Styela clava: one gene and its partner. The protein of the gene in region 1 purifies or fractionates together with the protein of each later gene. This does not show direct contact. Links are inferred from orthologs where the notes say so. Each region holds a gene or a part of one and is shown on either strand. Other genes may lie near its edges.

Region 1 (7,750 bases):
TGTCTAGTTGCAGCAGCATTTAGATGTTGCCTAGCATGAAGGGAAGCTTTATCAGTTGCACAGGAAAACCATTCGACAAACTCAGTGTAACAAGGATGAGTAGGTGGTCTTGATTTGCCAAACATAACATCAACGGTCATCTCAATTTCTCGTCCAAGCATTAACTTGTTCGGTGAATATCCTATACTATCATGTACAGTGGAGCAATATGCCATGCAAAGATATGGAAGATGGTCATCCCAATCATTTTGATTCTCCTTTACAAAAGCTTTCAACATTTGCTGTATTGTCATGTTAAAACGTTCAACGTGTCCATCCGAACGGGGATGATATCTACTTGTTCGAGCCTTTTGAATGTCGTACAAATGGCACACCACTCAGAAAATAATTCGAATTTAAAGTCTCTTCTCTGATATGAATGAAGAATTCTTGGTATCCTAAATCCTGAAAAGAAGTTCTAGTTACAATCAGGAATCCAATGGCGATAAAGAAGTCCATTGTCTACAAAACTTGAATCCCATTTCGGAATTAAACGTTTGGTCACTGTTTATTCAGGCATTCTTGAACGTCAGGTTTGTGAGCTGAAATTTGTACCCATTTCAAAACAGCAGCAGAAATATCAGGATCTTCACTTTGCCAAGATTTAATTTGCTCATCTGTGTATGTATCTATCAAATTACAATCTGAAGATAAATGACCACCTGTTTTGAGATTGCACTTACAATGAGTTTACTCAGAGTTACTTTTCTATTGTTACCGAAATTTGAACAATCTTATCGTTTGCATTTGCGAATTTGGCGTGACCATCCATCAGCATTGCCATGTTTCACCCCAGGTCTCTGTTCAATATTAAAGTCATAAGCGCCCAGTGAAATTAACGTCAATCCTGTTAACGTTCCTTGTGGTTCACGAAAATTGATCAACCATTTGAGAGCAGCATGAGCTGTGCGGATTCATAAAGGTCCTCCGAGAAGAAAATGGCTTGATTGACGAACAGTCCACACCACGGCTAATAGTTCGCGGTGTGTAGAACAGTATCTACGCTGAGACTTGGACAAAATTTTACTGACATACGCAAGTACACACACGCGCATGCACTTGGGATAACACCGCACCAATTCCAAAACCCCTGTCATCAGTAACTAATACAAACTCGCCGATTGTTCTATCTAGTCTAGGAAAACTAAGGATTGGGGTTAATGTCAGACAATGTTTCAAAAGCCTTTTGTCATCCATTACCTTAAACAAAGGGAATATTCTTCCTGGGTAATCGAATAAGAGGTCCAGCAATCATTGGATAATCTTCGATAAACTTTCGGTAGTAGTTTGCTGTACCAAGAAAACTCCGAATATCACTAACACAGTTGTGCGTTTTTCATTCTTTGATCGCCGCAATATTCCAGGGACACAACTGACACCTTTAGAAAAATATGGCGTATGGCAACCCTAGATTAGCTATATTGCCGGTTTTACTCTGTTGCACTGCTGCAATGCGCGGTTTAGACATATCTTTTCTTTCAGATTGATTAGTATCAAAAGAGTAATACAGTGTCGCAAGAGAGAAAGCTCCTCCAAAAGTATCACTGTTGCATGGTAACATGTTTAATCATGCTTTCATCGGTTAAGTCAGGGGTTCTCACCCTTTTTTCTGTTAAGTACCCCCCCCGAGTCACAAAAAAATCAACGCGAACCCCCAGTAATTAGACACCAAGAGTCGTGCATTTCATATTGTTGCGTCACAACCACAACAACGCAAGATCAGGAAAAATCTACGCTGAGCATTTTCATCTGATAGAAGTTTTTTGTTTGTTAAAGGATGTTAAAAAAGCAACACACGAAAACTCGACTGCCATCCAAGTACCCCTGGAAATCTGCTCGTGAACCCCTTTCACAAAATCATCTTCATCTTCAAGATTTGAGTAAGCAAGAGTGACAGATGCTCTCGAAGTATTCGTACCAAGCTGGCGCACAACCTGAACATAGTATGTTTACCAGGTTAGGGTTGTTTAGGTTGTGCGTTACCTTGGTAAAAATATTTCCAGAGCGCCGAATAACAATCTCTTTAAAAACTGTTACCGTCATTCCGTGGCGCGCCATTTGGCTTAATCCTACGACAGTGAATGGAGTACGATATGAGCTCTCATTTCCGGCAGATTTAAAGAAATGATCAAAATGAGCCTCAATATCCAAGCATAGTACGCTTCAAATCTGGTAAATCTTTCAACACATTGAGAGTCTGCCCTGTCATAGAAGTAGCCAATCCTGCAGTGCCATCATTCCACTGATTATACCTGATAACCAATTCAAAATGGCACAAATACTGTGGTCATGTCATGACAGTTGTTGACCCATCGAAATACATTGACTTTCTTGACATCATCGTAGCATTGGCTGTGTTATTGAGAACACTGCTGCTAACATTGTCCTTTGGGGCACTGTTAGCACTCACTGAGGGAACAGATTGTGTAGCCACTGAAATCAATATCTAATTTTACCATTATAACTAAGAAAGGGAACTCACATCACCTTCCTCCGAAAATTTTACTTCTATTGTCTGCGAGAGTGCGTTAGGCTTTCCTTCTGACTGTCCATCTTCAGATCTAAAATCGGATATTTCAAATCATCAGAACAGGCAGTGCTTCAAGGACAACCATTGCTAGTGTTGAAGTAATCAGGCTGACACATGGGCTTGGTTTCATCAGGATCATAAACTTCACCAGATTTCATCATGCCAGAAATATCTCGCAGTGTGTCGTTAATATGATAAACTGACGAGTCTAATTTCGTATTCTCTTTCGTATTCCGAAATATCAGGCAACCGCAATTTGAAAAAAAAATTTCGACAATCTTAATATCCGATATTGTCCAAATAATATCCGTCACAGACCAGCCTACCTATTCATTCGACTTAGTCTTGATAATCCCTGTGTCGAATAATATATCCTGGCGTGTCGCCAATTTTCCGTAAATGTGGCGTACCAGTATTGGTAGCGGTTGCGGTTTCAACTGCAGCAGAATAACTAACTTAATTTACATATATTAATTATACACATGTAAGAACTTAATACAACCAAATATTCAAATGAAAAACACAATAAACAATAAAAATACAGTACTAAATACAATAGAGATACGCAAATCACACAGGAACTTCCACACTGCCGGCAGTCTGACAAACCAGCTAAAAAGGAAGTTGCTCAATGGCAACTCAAGTGGTATTAATGAGAATGGACATACAAAATAAAACAGAATTACAGACGAGGTCGTCTCACAACAAAACTTCATACAGCCTGGGAACCCCGTGAAAAAGTGAAACAACGTTACTCACTGGAAGTGTATGCTCGCATTTTAATTGCTATCGAAGCAGGAAACTGCCTGTTGCTCAGGTACGAAGACGGAAATAAGCATGACGATTGATCTGCTTCTTGTGGTGTTATATGTCTGACTGACTTCAAACAAACTGTGGCCGTGGAAGAAGCAACTGCTTAAAATTTTGAAAGATATTTAGTTTGTGTCAAGTTGTAGAATGTCTAGAAGCGAAAGCCAGCAACTGCTGACTAATACCCCGTACATTCTCACGCCCAAAAGATGGGGAATTTTAATGATCGTAAGTTCGATTTTATTTCTGGATACCTTCAGTGCTTCATTTTTCGGATTCATCAACGATATTGCTTCGGAGTATTTTGAAACAACCCCAGCAGCGACGGACGTTTTGTCAACTATAAATATGATAGCAAGAAGTGTTTTCGGCTTTGTTCTAGCAATGGGCGGAGAGCAGTTAAATTTTCGATCACTCGCACTTGCTACAACCGGTACTATAGTCGCCGGTGATTTGCTTATTACAGCCGGTGTATCTTCTAGAAGAAACATGGTGATTGTTGGCATGGGACAAATAATGAATGGATTTGGTGCCACAATGACGTTGACCTTATCTCAAATGGCTCCCAGCAACTGGTTTCCCGAAAATGAGCGTGGAAGAGCTGTGGCACTACCGTGGATATTACGCCGATTATCTCCCGTGGCATCCAACATTGTTGCAACGCGGACCATACGACAAGGTTATGCTAACGTTGGTAGTGCTAACGCAACATCCGCGTATTTTGAGAGCGATGAATTATTGAAAAATTTTAGAACATCTTTTCAGATCTCGTACATAGCGCTTACTGGAATAGCGCTTGTCGCATTTGTATTATCACAAATGTATGTTACAGACTACCCGCCTCGCGCAGATGGGAAAAAAGCGTCTCCAGGAACAAATACCTACGGATGGAGACCACTTACGGAGCTTAGAGGAATTTTGAGTTTATTCGCCAATGGCCAGTATGTTCTTTTATTGTTCATGTACGTTTTGCAGCTTTCAGTTAGACCAATGAATGAGTGGATGCTTTCATCCATAATTTTAGACGCTTTCCCAGAACTCGATGACAGCACTGCAGGCATTGTATTTATTGTATCTTACGTTATAGGTGCATTTGGATCACCCACGGGTGGATTTGTACTTGATAAATTTAGGAGACCTAAAGTCACTCTTGTGTTTGGTCAATGCGCTGTTATTATTTGGTGCGGCTTGTTTTCACTTGGTGTTTACCTACAAAGTTTTGTGCTGGTTTTTATAAGTGATGTGGGAACAGCATTTTTCAGAGATTTTTGTTTTGTTTGCATATCTCATTCCTTGATTGAAACGATGTATAACGAGCCAGCAGACACAAAGGTTCGTGCATTCAGCATTTCTGGCTCTGTTCCATGGTTTTCTTTAGCGCTTTACACAGCTTTTGTCCGGTATGTTTTGCAAAACGGTGGCGCGGGCCTCAGCGTTTTGATACCAATACCTTTTCACGTTATAGCCGGGGTATTGTACATATTTTTTTACAAAATACCGGGAAAAAATAATGACGAAGATTCCAATTGATTCATTCATTCATATGCATTATTTGTTGCACTATGGTTCTACGATTTTTTCAAGATATTTCTATTTTAAAAAGTTGCACATATAGAATTTTTGCAGATATTTTATGACTTCAAGTTATTTTTTACAGTACGAATAGAGAACTTATGTTGAATAAAAGCATTCATTGAGATTAATCTTTGTGCATTTAATTTTATTAATTGAGAGGTCAGGGACTTTATAGAATCCTCGGGTAGTTTAAAGGATTTGCCCAGAGAATTGAATAATTTCTCTAGTATTCATCCAAAGATCATTCAATTTTGATGATAGTTTTAAAAACTAAAATCAAACAAAACAGCAATGCATAAATATAGGGATACAAAATCTATCACAGATTGACTACATGCAGTGATGGGATTTGAAAGTTTCAAACGGGTTCTCTTTTGTATCGGACTCACCAACATCAGGTTCCCTCAATTTAGGTAATTTATTTTATGTCACTAGGTGGGTCACTAGGTATTTTATGTCACAATAATATGACATGCTTTACATAAATCTTTTACATAACTTTCAAAACGCAAAATATGACGTCAAATTCACGTATCCCATTTCCTGCGTCTTTTAACGTCTATAAACAAGCACGGGTTTGGCAAGTATCACAACATTCAAAAAACGGGCTATCCACAGGTTCACTCTGTATCATTAAAATCCAATATAATAAGTCATAAACTTTTTTCCGGTCTCCCGGAAACGAGCAATATACACGTCTCTCCGTACGTTAAACTGTATACGGGTAACGACAAAATTTTTGATTAGTGATATATATATATCAAATTTCAAATCGGTGATATGATTACACACAACAGAGAAACCGCTGTTCAACTATAGGTAAAAACTACGATAAAAAAGTATCTTGAATTAACGCAATATATAAAAATAAATCAGGGATTTTCAACTGATGTATATTGTATATACATACAGACGAGGGTAAATATTCGGATTAGGTGATAAATTTATTCAGTGAGATATTCGCTCGCAAATTAGTACGAAGTTTATTCTTAGTTTAGTGCATTTCAGATAAGGCTGCTCACAGCAATATGTGCTTTCGAACGCGTACTTACAGTGTCTTACACCAGTTTTGCACTGTCACTTAATAACTGCGATGCTGACTTGGCATATCATGCAAACGGATTTTAAAATGCGCAGGAAAGAAAAATGTAGAAAATCATGTACAACCGTCGTCGGAATCTTTGCTCCGTTTACCAGACATTTTTCAAAAATCAAAATAAACTGAACTTATAAATGGACGTTCATCAAGTAAACCACACACAACTGATGCTACTTACTACAAAACAAACGCCGTATATCAGCACTTGTTACCACATAAATTCGTGTGGAGTCAATAATGAATGTAGGATCAATATATGATTTGTATGCATTTAAAGTCGGGTTGTTTGAGGGCCGCAAAATATTAGTTCGCGGGCCGCAGTTTGCCGACCCCTGAATTAAAGTAATTAGATAATTTCATCGTGTGATAGTCTATTTGACCTATGTGTCCATATATTTGTGGATTGTTTTTGATCATATTTGCTGTTGCATATCGTCACGCTAATAACCGAATTGCGTAAGTCATTTTTAGCAGTTTTGAGAAAAACGTAAAAAACTTCCTAATGATTTTGTTATGCAATTGAGAGTCAATAATTTGCCATGGTTCAATTTTTTGATCGTAGCCGGATTTAAGTTAATTTGTATGACGCAGTTAAGTGACATCATAATGGCGCACTGTGACTTAGGCAGAAATGTGTCTATGACTTGGTGACATACGCAATTTGCAACTTCACTATATGCACCAGTCCTGAAAACTAAACATTCCAAAAACGAATGTAATTCTCAGTATCTACAATGTCTAATCCCCAAAATAGCTAATCAGTTTCAATTAAATCATTTTTTATGTTTAAAAATATATATTTCATCAATATAACACGTTCTGCACACCCACCGAAATAGGACTAAGATAAAATATAAAGAATAAAACAGCAATGCACCCAATATAAAAGCCAACCAAGGTAAATTTGACTCGGACAGTGAATATCACAAGTGTACGTCTTCCTATACTGTAGTAAAAATTCAAATTAATACGCGCTAAGCTAGAATCCGAGATGCAAAAACTCGAAAATACTTCGCCGAGGTTATTTTGCCTTTGTGACGTCACAATAGTACTGCGGTAACAAGGATAATTCATTATGACGAAACAATCGCACAAATGTGCATGTCATACTAAATCTCCATTTTTATGGGTTTCGGAATTCCTAAAATAAAATCTGAGTTAACAGACAGGTGCGCAGCATTACATAAATACCTATTTTATTAAAAACTCAAAATCGTCAAAAATGACTTACGCAATTCGGTTATTAGCGTGACGATATGTTTTTTGGAGGATAAAGTAAAATCAACTTGGAAGTTTTGTAAATTCTTTAATATTTTATAAGCTATTGTAGAATTGCAACCAAACACCCGAATCCATTTTGATATTGTATACAGCAAAATCCAATAGACTGATTTTATTAAACTATGAATTAATATCAATATAACCACTTTGAATTTATATTTTGAATTGAACGAAAAATGATAAAACCTGGACAGAGGACTCTCAGATTCGAAGCATATCTCATCGATTTTTTAATAACCTAACAAGTTTACCCAAATTTAGTTTGAAATATTTTGCATTGAAAGAACCAGTGTACCCGTCTGGATTAAAGTACCAATTGATTGATTTAGATGTGTTGCACTTATTTAAAGTACGTACACTGTAAAAAAAATTTTACATGGAATTCCATGGCAGCAATTTTTACGGGATTTTCCGCT
Region 2 (7,421 bases), on another chromosome or scaffold:
TTCATACAAAGCATCTTGATCAACAATACCACCCCTGTATGAACATGGGAAGCAAAATGTAATGAAATAACAGCGCAAATATAGGCTTAAATCACATATGGAATAACTCGGATTGTAAAGTGAACAATTAACTTATGGCGAATCTCGGCATCTCATCCGGTTACCAGTCCATATCAAATATGGGATTAGTCAGCCAGTCATTTGTTTCATATGCATGGACTTGATGGCGGAGGAAGTTATAACCGACCAGCAATTGGTTATGTGAACCACCATACGGCGGCTGAGTCCAGCAAACCTTTCACACATAATAATCCCAGGATTCAAACCTGCGAAGTGCTAACCCACACAAGGTAATCAGAGGCGCAGTGCGAATGTATTCCTGACACTCAGAATGATGCACCACACAACCAACCAATTATAACATAACATCAGAATCTATTGATATGTTGTGCATGGAATCATGTAAAGAATCCATGGTACATGGAGGGTTAGCTATACATGCAAATAATGGGGTTACAGTTTTAAAATATACATAGTAAAGAGGAATAAATGAGTTTCAAAATAGACAAAGTGAATTTATTAAAAAAAGATTGAATAGGTTTGAATATAGTAATACAGAGCCTGTCAGCTTTACAATAACAGCTTACAAATTCAAGTGCAGGATTTTTATTAGGATTTTCATATTTATCCCAGAGGGTAATGTCAATAAAACAGCTTAATCATATGGCGAACCATTGCCTTTCTTCCGGATACCAGTCCATATCGAATATGGAATATATTAGCCAGTTATTCGCTTCAAATGCATGGGCTTGATTATAAAATAAAGAAGTATTTTAATATTAAGAGCTTTAGAGTTTCAGGAAGTGCTTGTGATCCATTGTTAAATACCTTGGGCCTATAAAATTTCATCACCTTTTGCTCCCATCACAGATTCACAATACAATCAGTTCAAAACTCTCACTTTTATAGTGTACTGGAATAAAATCACAAAAAAACATGTTTACCTGGCTGTATTTATAAAGATCGCAGTCCTTTTCATTTTATTAAAAGCTTCTCTGTTAAATAGATTTGTTGATTCTGGAGTCAAAGCACATAAGCAGAGCACAAAGTCACTTCTTTTCAAAAGGTCATCTAGAGTAGCTGTGTTAAAATTTTATCAAACAATAATTGTGTCATCCATCGAAGAAACAAATAAACATTTACTGGGACCAGGAAAGCAATTTTCCACATACACTAAACGATGGCTACCGGTGCCAGATATCCAGGATGTAAATCTCTAAGTTTGGAGAAGAACTTGAGTAGGCCAAAGTTCAGTGTTGTTAACCAGTGGACAGAATATGAGCGTAAAAAAAAATTTGTAGGCAATTTTTGTACAATAAAACCCTAGTTACCATATTCGACTGAAAGTTCGTTTTCCTCTTCTATTGACCTTCGTTTAGTATTATTATACAGAAACTTTTTTGGTCCAAAAGGTCTGAGTCTCTCCAGCGTTGCGATTCCAATTCTACCCAAACCAACTATACCGACAGTACCTCCCAATAAAGATGGACCACATAACCATGTAGGCTTCCAAGTTCCCCAGCCTCCACTAAATATGGAAAAGAGACAAGTGAATAAAGTTGGCTAATAAGTATTTATTGTGAGGCAAGCTTTTAACTTAGTATATTTCAATACAGGAATGACCTTAGTGCACCGTTAGCACTATTGATTTTATAATTTTACAGAAATCAATCCCCACAAGCTGTCTAGATTATGTTTTTGAGTATATACAGACAGTGCTCACGCTCACCATGGTATAAGATTTTCATATACATCCTGTAGGAGGAGGATGTATAAGTACAAATAATTGAGAAAGCAAAAAACCTATAATTCAAATTTGATTTCATACACTATTGGCAGTGTACCAAGTAACCTTAATTCCCAACGATACTTTAATGCAAAAAAAAGTAAAAATCCTCTATATTCCGCAAGAATAGACAAATTCAATTAAGGTTTCAGTATGCTCACATATACTGACCTCTGCGCTTCTCGTGTTGCTTCAACAATTCTACGAGATGTTGCAAGCAATAATGCTAAAGTAAATTCTGCCTATGACAAAATTAAAAAGCATTCATTAAAATAATTCAATTTTTGACATACGAAAGAATGAGAGATCTTCATATTGCAGCAAGTCTCAAAATTTCTATTTTACCGTTGCCGCTGTTAAAACATCTGGAGTATATCCAATATTTATATTTCTTCTGGCACATTCACGTAAATCTATGTGATCAACACCAACAGACATAGTGCTTACTACTTTCAATGATGGACCTGATGATAAAAATTTTGATGAAAAAAGTTAAGCTCTATAAAACCATATCAAAAACCATTGTGAATTATCATCCCATATCAACTCCTTGAAGACTAATTACACATAAAATTTTAATAGATTAAAATATTCAGCCATTGAAAGTGAATTTAATAGCACCTTATTTTAATAAAAACAAGAAAACAAAAATTTCTTAACTATGTGTATGCAATTACAAAAAAATAAAAGAAAAAATTTCTAACAAATTGAAATTAACAAGTGCAAACTTCCCTTTAGCCCTTTGGCGCTTTTCTGGCTGACTTTAATATATCCCACCAAATCTCAATTAAACAACAATATTTCTTGGACAAATCATCTTCTATGTTACCTGCAGCATCAAGTGTTGCACTGCCAATTTTATCAGTAAGAAGACAAAATAATCCATCAATTCCTTCTATTCGTTTATGCAATGTTTGGTTAGGGATGCATTCATCACTGTCCCAGACATCAATATTGCATCTGAATAAGCACAATATTAGTCAAGCTAAAAAAACGTTAAGACTGACTTCTGATAGCAAAGAAGTCTAGATATCGTCCGACCGTATATGTCTACACTGTTAGGATAATTGAATTAAATATCAGCCATCAAAAAAACTGAAAAGATGACTGCAAGAAGCTGTTTGTTAACTATGCCGAGGCTACGAATTTAGCAATACACTAAAACATGTAAAATACCTACTTGGTAGCAAGAATATCGATGGCTTCTCTCGGTATTCTCCGTGTAACAAGAATTCTAAAAACCGTGGAGGACATTCCAACGTCGAAGAGGTACCGGTACCGTCCTGTGCGTTAATCCCAAACACAAAAAGCAGAAGTCCACAAGACTGCAAAAATGCAGAAAAGCGGAGTCTAAAACACAATATTATAAAACCGCTCGACGTATTATTACTGGTATTACATATAGTTACGATTACCGATTAAATTTTGTTGACAATATTCGTCATATTAGCAACGCAAACTTGACAAACCCATTTTAATATGAACATTCAATAATACCTATATTCGGATATGCAAACAAGTCAACTTTTACCCAGTGCACTTTCTCCAACTTGCACAGCAGGTTGGGGAAAGTGGGGAAGGTTGAGATATTTTTTTTACTTTTGCATAATTTGAGCCATTTATTCTGCACAATCATTTCACTTTGCAGGATTATTGCAGAGAGCGTAAATGTAGTTTTTATTCAGCGGCTAGGAAATTCCCTTGCGACACACATCTTACCACCAAAATGCTTTAAAAAACGCTTGTCAAGTGTCCCACTGTACCCCACTTGTGGGCACATTCGGACAGAACCTGGGGCACAATGGGTCATTCTGTTAAATTCAACGTATTATTCCCTTAAAAATAAGCATTATCATATAAAGAACAGGGAGACTACAAATTTTAAGATTCAATATTTTTTAAATCAATGTCCATCCAAAATATTTCAGATATTTTTCCATAAATTTCCGTAAACAAATTGAATTATTTCCTTTGTCAAATCTGAATTTAGAAATACTTTTGATTCTCGAATATATTTCATATTGGGCCATGGGGCGAAAGATACCAAAATATTACACAAAAGATAACGCATCTCAATGAGCATATATATGCTCATTGCGCATCTCTAGGCCTCTGAGCACTCAATGGATCAAACACTGCCGAATTGTGCCCAGTGGCATGTCCCACTGAACCCCGATCCATTATTTCCCATGGGAAACAAATATTTTTAGACTGTCCCATGGCGAAATTAGGAAGGTACATCCACTCGCCAACGTTATGAATATTTTACAGTGGAGTGAAGCTGAAAAATATCAGATGGTGGTTTGTCACGTTGGAAAGGCTAAAGTAGAAAAAAGAAAAAAAAAAAATGGTGAAATTTTAGTTTCTACCTCCCAAAACCAATTTCACTTTCCAGTAGAAAAGGATTACATACCTAAGAGCTATCTATGAAATGACGTACTTTGCAAAGTAAGAGTAATCGAAATAAAAGTTTATTGTATATTGTAATGAACTGCAAAAGAATGTAACTATATGGAGGGAGAAAGCAGCTATCAAGAAAGGAAATTTCACCCTTGATTAGGTACCAATCATGTTTTAATAAGAAGATTACAATTGATACAAAATTAGAAAAAGGAATGATCCCCCAAGTTGTTGGGACTCTGCATAAATGCCCTACTAGATGTGGAATTTGTTTAATAGATGATCGGGGCTGAAGCCTGGATATCATTTGGATGCATTCTCAGCACGGTAGACCAGAGGATGTCAAACTCGCACCCCTCGAACACTCAACAATAATTATGATATTTTTATTTTTATTAAAAATGAAATTTTACTTAAGTTGATTTGTATAAATTGCAATAATGGTGATATGCAAGAAATTAATAAGTGAATGGCATTTGAAATTTAGGGTAGACTTAAATTTTCGAAGAAAGTTATGTCTCAAATTTACAATAAACTGGGATTTGGTCTTATTACACTGGCTTTGGTTGCAACAGCATTAAAAAAGATAAGATTTTATTTCGATTCATTCGCAAAAACAAAGTAAACATATCTACACAAAAGATTAAGACGAAGAATCTGGAAAGTGAACAAAACCTAATAAAATAGGTTTAAAACGTATTAAACGCGTTCACTTACCAAAGAAGAAAGAAAACGAGTCACAAACACAAACAAATAAACATGAATATTGACGGCAGTCATTACTCAGGCGTTTCACTTGGTAATCAGGTTGCGTGCAATCTTTTCAATATCCGCTGTGCGTGTGATGCGGCATGTAAACAAACAATCCGAAAAATCCTAGAATGAAGTGCGAATGCATGTTTCCGTTCCATGCTCAAACATATATCTAGTAAAATCTACTAAAACGTTAACACACCAATTTAAAAATCGATTGTGAATTTTTAAATACCAGTTCGTGCAGTTTAACCGTAGTAATATATATTTACGGTTTAACATTTGTATATCCGGTCTTTTCCATATTTGAGCAGAGCATAATTTCGTCCATCACGAAATCTTCCATTTTGCACATTTCCAGTCCATCATTAAAAAATCTGCCATTTCTGTTATTTGTTTATTGATGTCACTAAGTCTGGGATTCACTTCTCGAATGCATATCTTCGGCTCGAGGTAGCCACGTCCTCACGCGACGGCGTTCGGTACTGAAAGAAACAATTTATTTATTCAAATTTGTACACAGTAATATTTTGTCTAATTTAGAATTCCCAACATAAGTAGGTTCAAAATATATTGCAACAACATGAAAATAATATTCTCTACCGTTACCTTTTTTATTATTTCAATTTTTGACTCATTTCAAATGTTGGTGTCGCAGACTTATGATGACCCCTTCTGTTTCTTGCGTTGAAAGCCACCTGCTTTTAAATTGCGACTAAATCCGTTTCTGTATTGTATAAGCTGTGCCTTGAATGTGTGTATTATTTCCTGCATGACGAAATGAACGAAGATAAAAAAAATTAATCACTGAATTTCCACGCCTTATGTTTTTTTCTCTCTCCCAAATGCTACCGTATATGAATATTTATATCACTCCCTGTTATGTTGGTAATTTATTGAATGACTAAGTTTCTCTTTGTATCCATTGCTTTCTTTAATTGCAATTTTTACTTTTGACTCGTCTTAAATCTAGGTGTCGCTGACTTATGATGACCATTTCTGGTCCTTCGCGATTTCTTGTCAATTGCAATGAAATCTGTTACTGTAATGCATAATTTTTTATCTGTTGTGAACTTGTGTTGTAATTTCTAGCACGACGAAATAAACGTATTGTCTATTGTCATAGTTCATGTTTTTAATGTAAATAATATATAGGTTCAGATTCTAATATATAAAATCAAAACGGCAACGAACATTATATATGTTAAACAGTAATGTCATATCGGTGTTTAACATGTTTTGTTATTTCATGATTGGAGTCTTTAGGCCCATTGCTATATTTGAAAGGTTTGTCATACTGTATTTTTGTGAGGTTTCCGATTACAACTTATATTCACCTTATGTAGTCAAGTCAGCAACAGCAAACAGACGTCTTTCAGCCTGTGATTTCGCTCCACAAATTTGCCATCAAGTTACAATTTCTTCTAATTTAGGTATGGACTATCATTTTAAAGGGCTTATATTACAATAATTTTCATAATTCGGACAAGGTTTTATTTTCGGGTTAACGCGGTAGTAAGCAGTGGCATTGACACAACTTGAAGAACTGTATAGCAGGTACCGGACTTCAGTGCTACCAGGTACTGCAGTACTGGTAGCCGGACATCCTATCTAATATAGTCAGCATAGTATATATAGTACGGTACCGTATTTTATACCTTTGAAAAAGATATTACGAGTTCCACCTGATCCAGTACACTCCAGGTGCAACATTGGCCCTCAACCAAGCTACAGCTCAAACTCGCGAATGAAAAGCGAAACCGCCGCGTCCCCCAAGAGTGAGATAAAAACAGTGTCTGGCAGCAGCCGTCACGCTCCGATGGTTCGTATGAAAGTCCGTAATGCTGACGTGTTATTTAAACTACCGGTACCGTACCAAGGCTGCAAGAGGTGAAAACTAAATTATTTAGTAAATACTGAAATAAGCCTACGAACAATACAGAAATGTTGGCCATCCTGCCAATAGGCAGGATAAGTTGTACTGTACCGGTATACAAAAAAGATGAATATCTCCAACCTATAATGGTACAATACCGGTCTCCTAACTAGGTCAAAGAATATGACTGAATACGAGAGAGAGATTTATTTTGTCAACCAGAATACAAGCATTGTATCAATAAAAATTATATACAAAACACACAGTTATTCGGTATAGACTAGGGAGCGATACGACCATCACAGTCAGCTCCCCCCTGCCCCCCATGCTCGCTATCAAGATTAACAGTTAAGATGTTTGAACAATTTAACAAAAACTCCTTGGAAGAAGGGTTGACTAAGTTACGGAACATTTTTGGAATCGGTTAAAAATGTAGTCCATTATTAAACCACTGCTTTTTTTTTGTAGATTTTCACTTAGTGGACACTTGGCAAGTACCACAGTTAATTTATAAAAAAAAAATTGTAAATTAATAACAAATCAGTA

Evidence for each region. Proteins that work in one complex are often made in the same cells at the same time.
Region 2: the proteins of phosphoglucomutase-1-like (region 1) and glyoxylate reductase/hydroxypyruvate reductase-like fractionate together in Homo sapiens (co-fractionation; 3 studies listed by BioGRID). This does not show direct contact. The link is inferred for Styela clava from reciprocal best matches to the Homo sapiens genes PGM1 and GRHPR.

The regions. Positions count from the first base shown.
Region 1 is NC_135260.1:7,603,388-7,611,137, reverse strand, and holds the start of phosphoglucomutase-1-like, read right to left. Parts: upstream 3,071-7,750; 5' UTR 3,063-3,070; intron 1-3,062. Other genes in the region: putative MFS-type transporter C09D4.1, read left to right, coding at 3,527-4,779, 5,037-5,076. UniProt on the Homo sapiens protein: Catalyzes the reversible isomerization of alpha-D-glucose 1-phosphate to alpha-D-glucose 6-phosphate. The mechanism proceeds via the intermediate compound alpha-D-glucose 1,6-bisphosphate.
Region 2 is NC_135262.1:15,482,849-15,490,269, reverse strand, and holds the start of glyoxylate reductase/hydroxypyruvate reductase-like, read right to left. Parts: upstream 3,187-7,421; 5' UTR 3,101-3,186; coding exon 3,027-3,100; intron 2,807-3,026; coding exon 2,676-2,806; intron 2,311-2,675; coding exon 2,192-2,310; intron 2,089-2,191; coding exon 2,018-2,088; intron 1,589-2,017; coding exon 1,392-1,588; intron 1,141-1,391; coding exon 1,005-1,140; intron 35-1,004; coding exon 1-34. UniProt on the Homo sapiens protein: Enzyme with hydroxy-pyruvate reductase, glyoxylate reductase and D-glycerate dehydrogenase enzymatic activities. Reduces hydroxypyruvate to D-glycerate, glyoxylate to glycolate, oxidizes D-glycerate to hydroxypyruvate.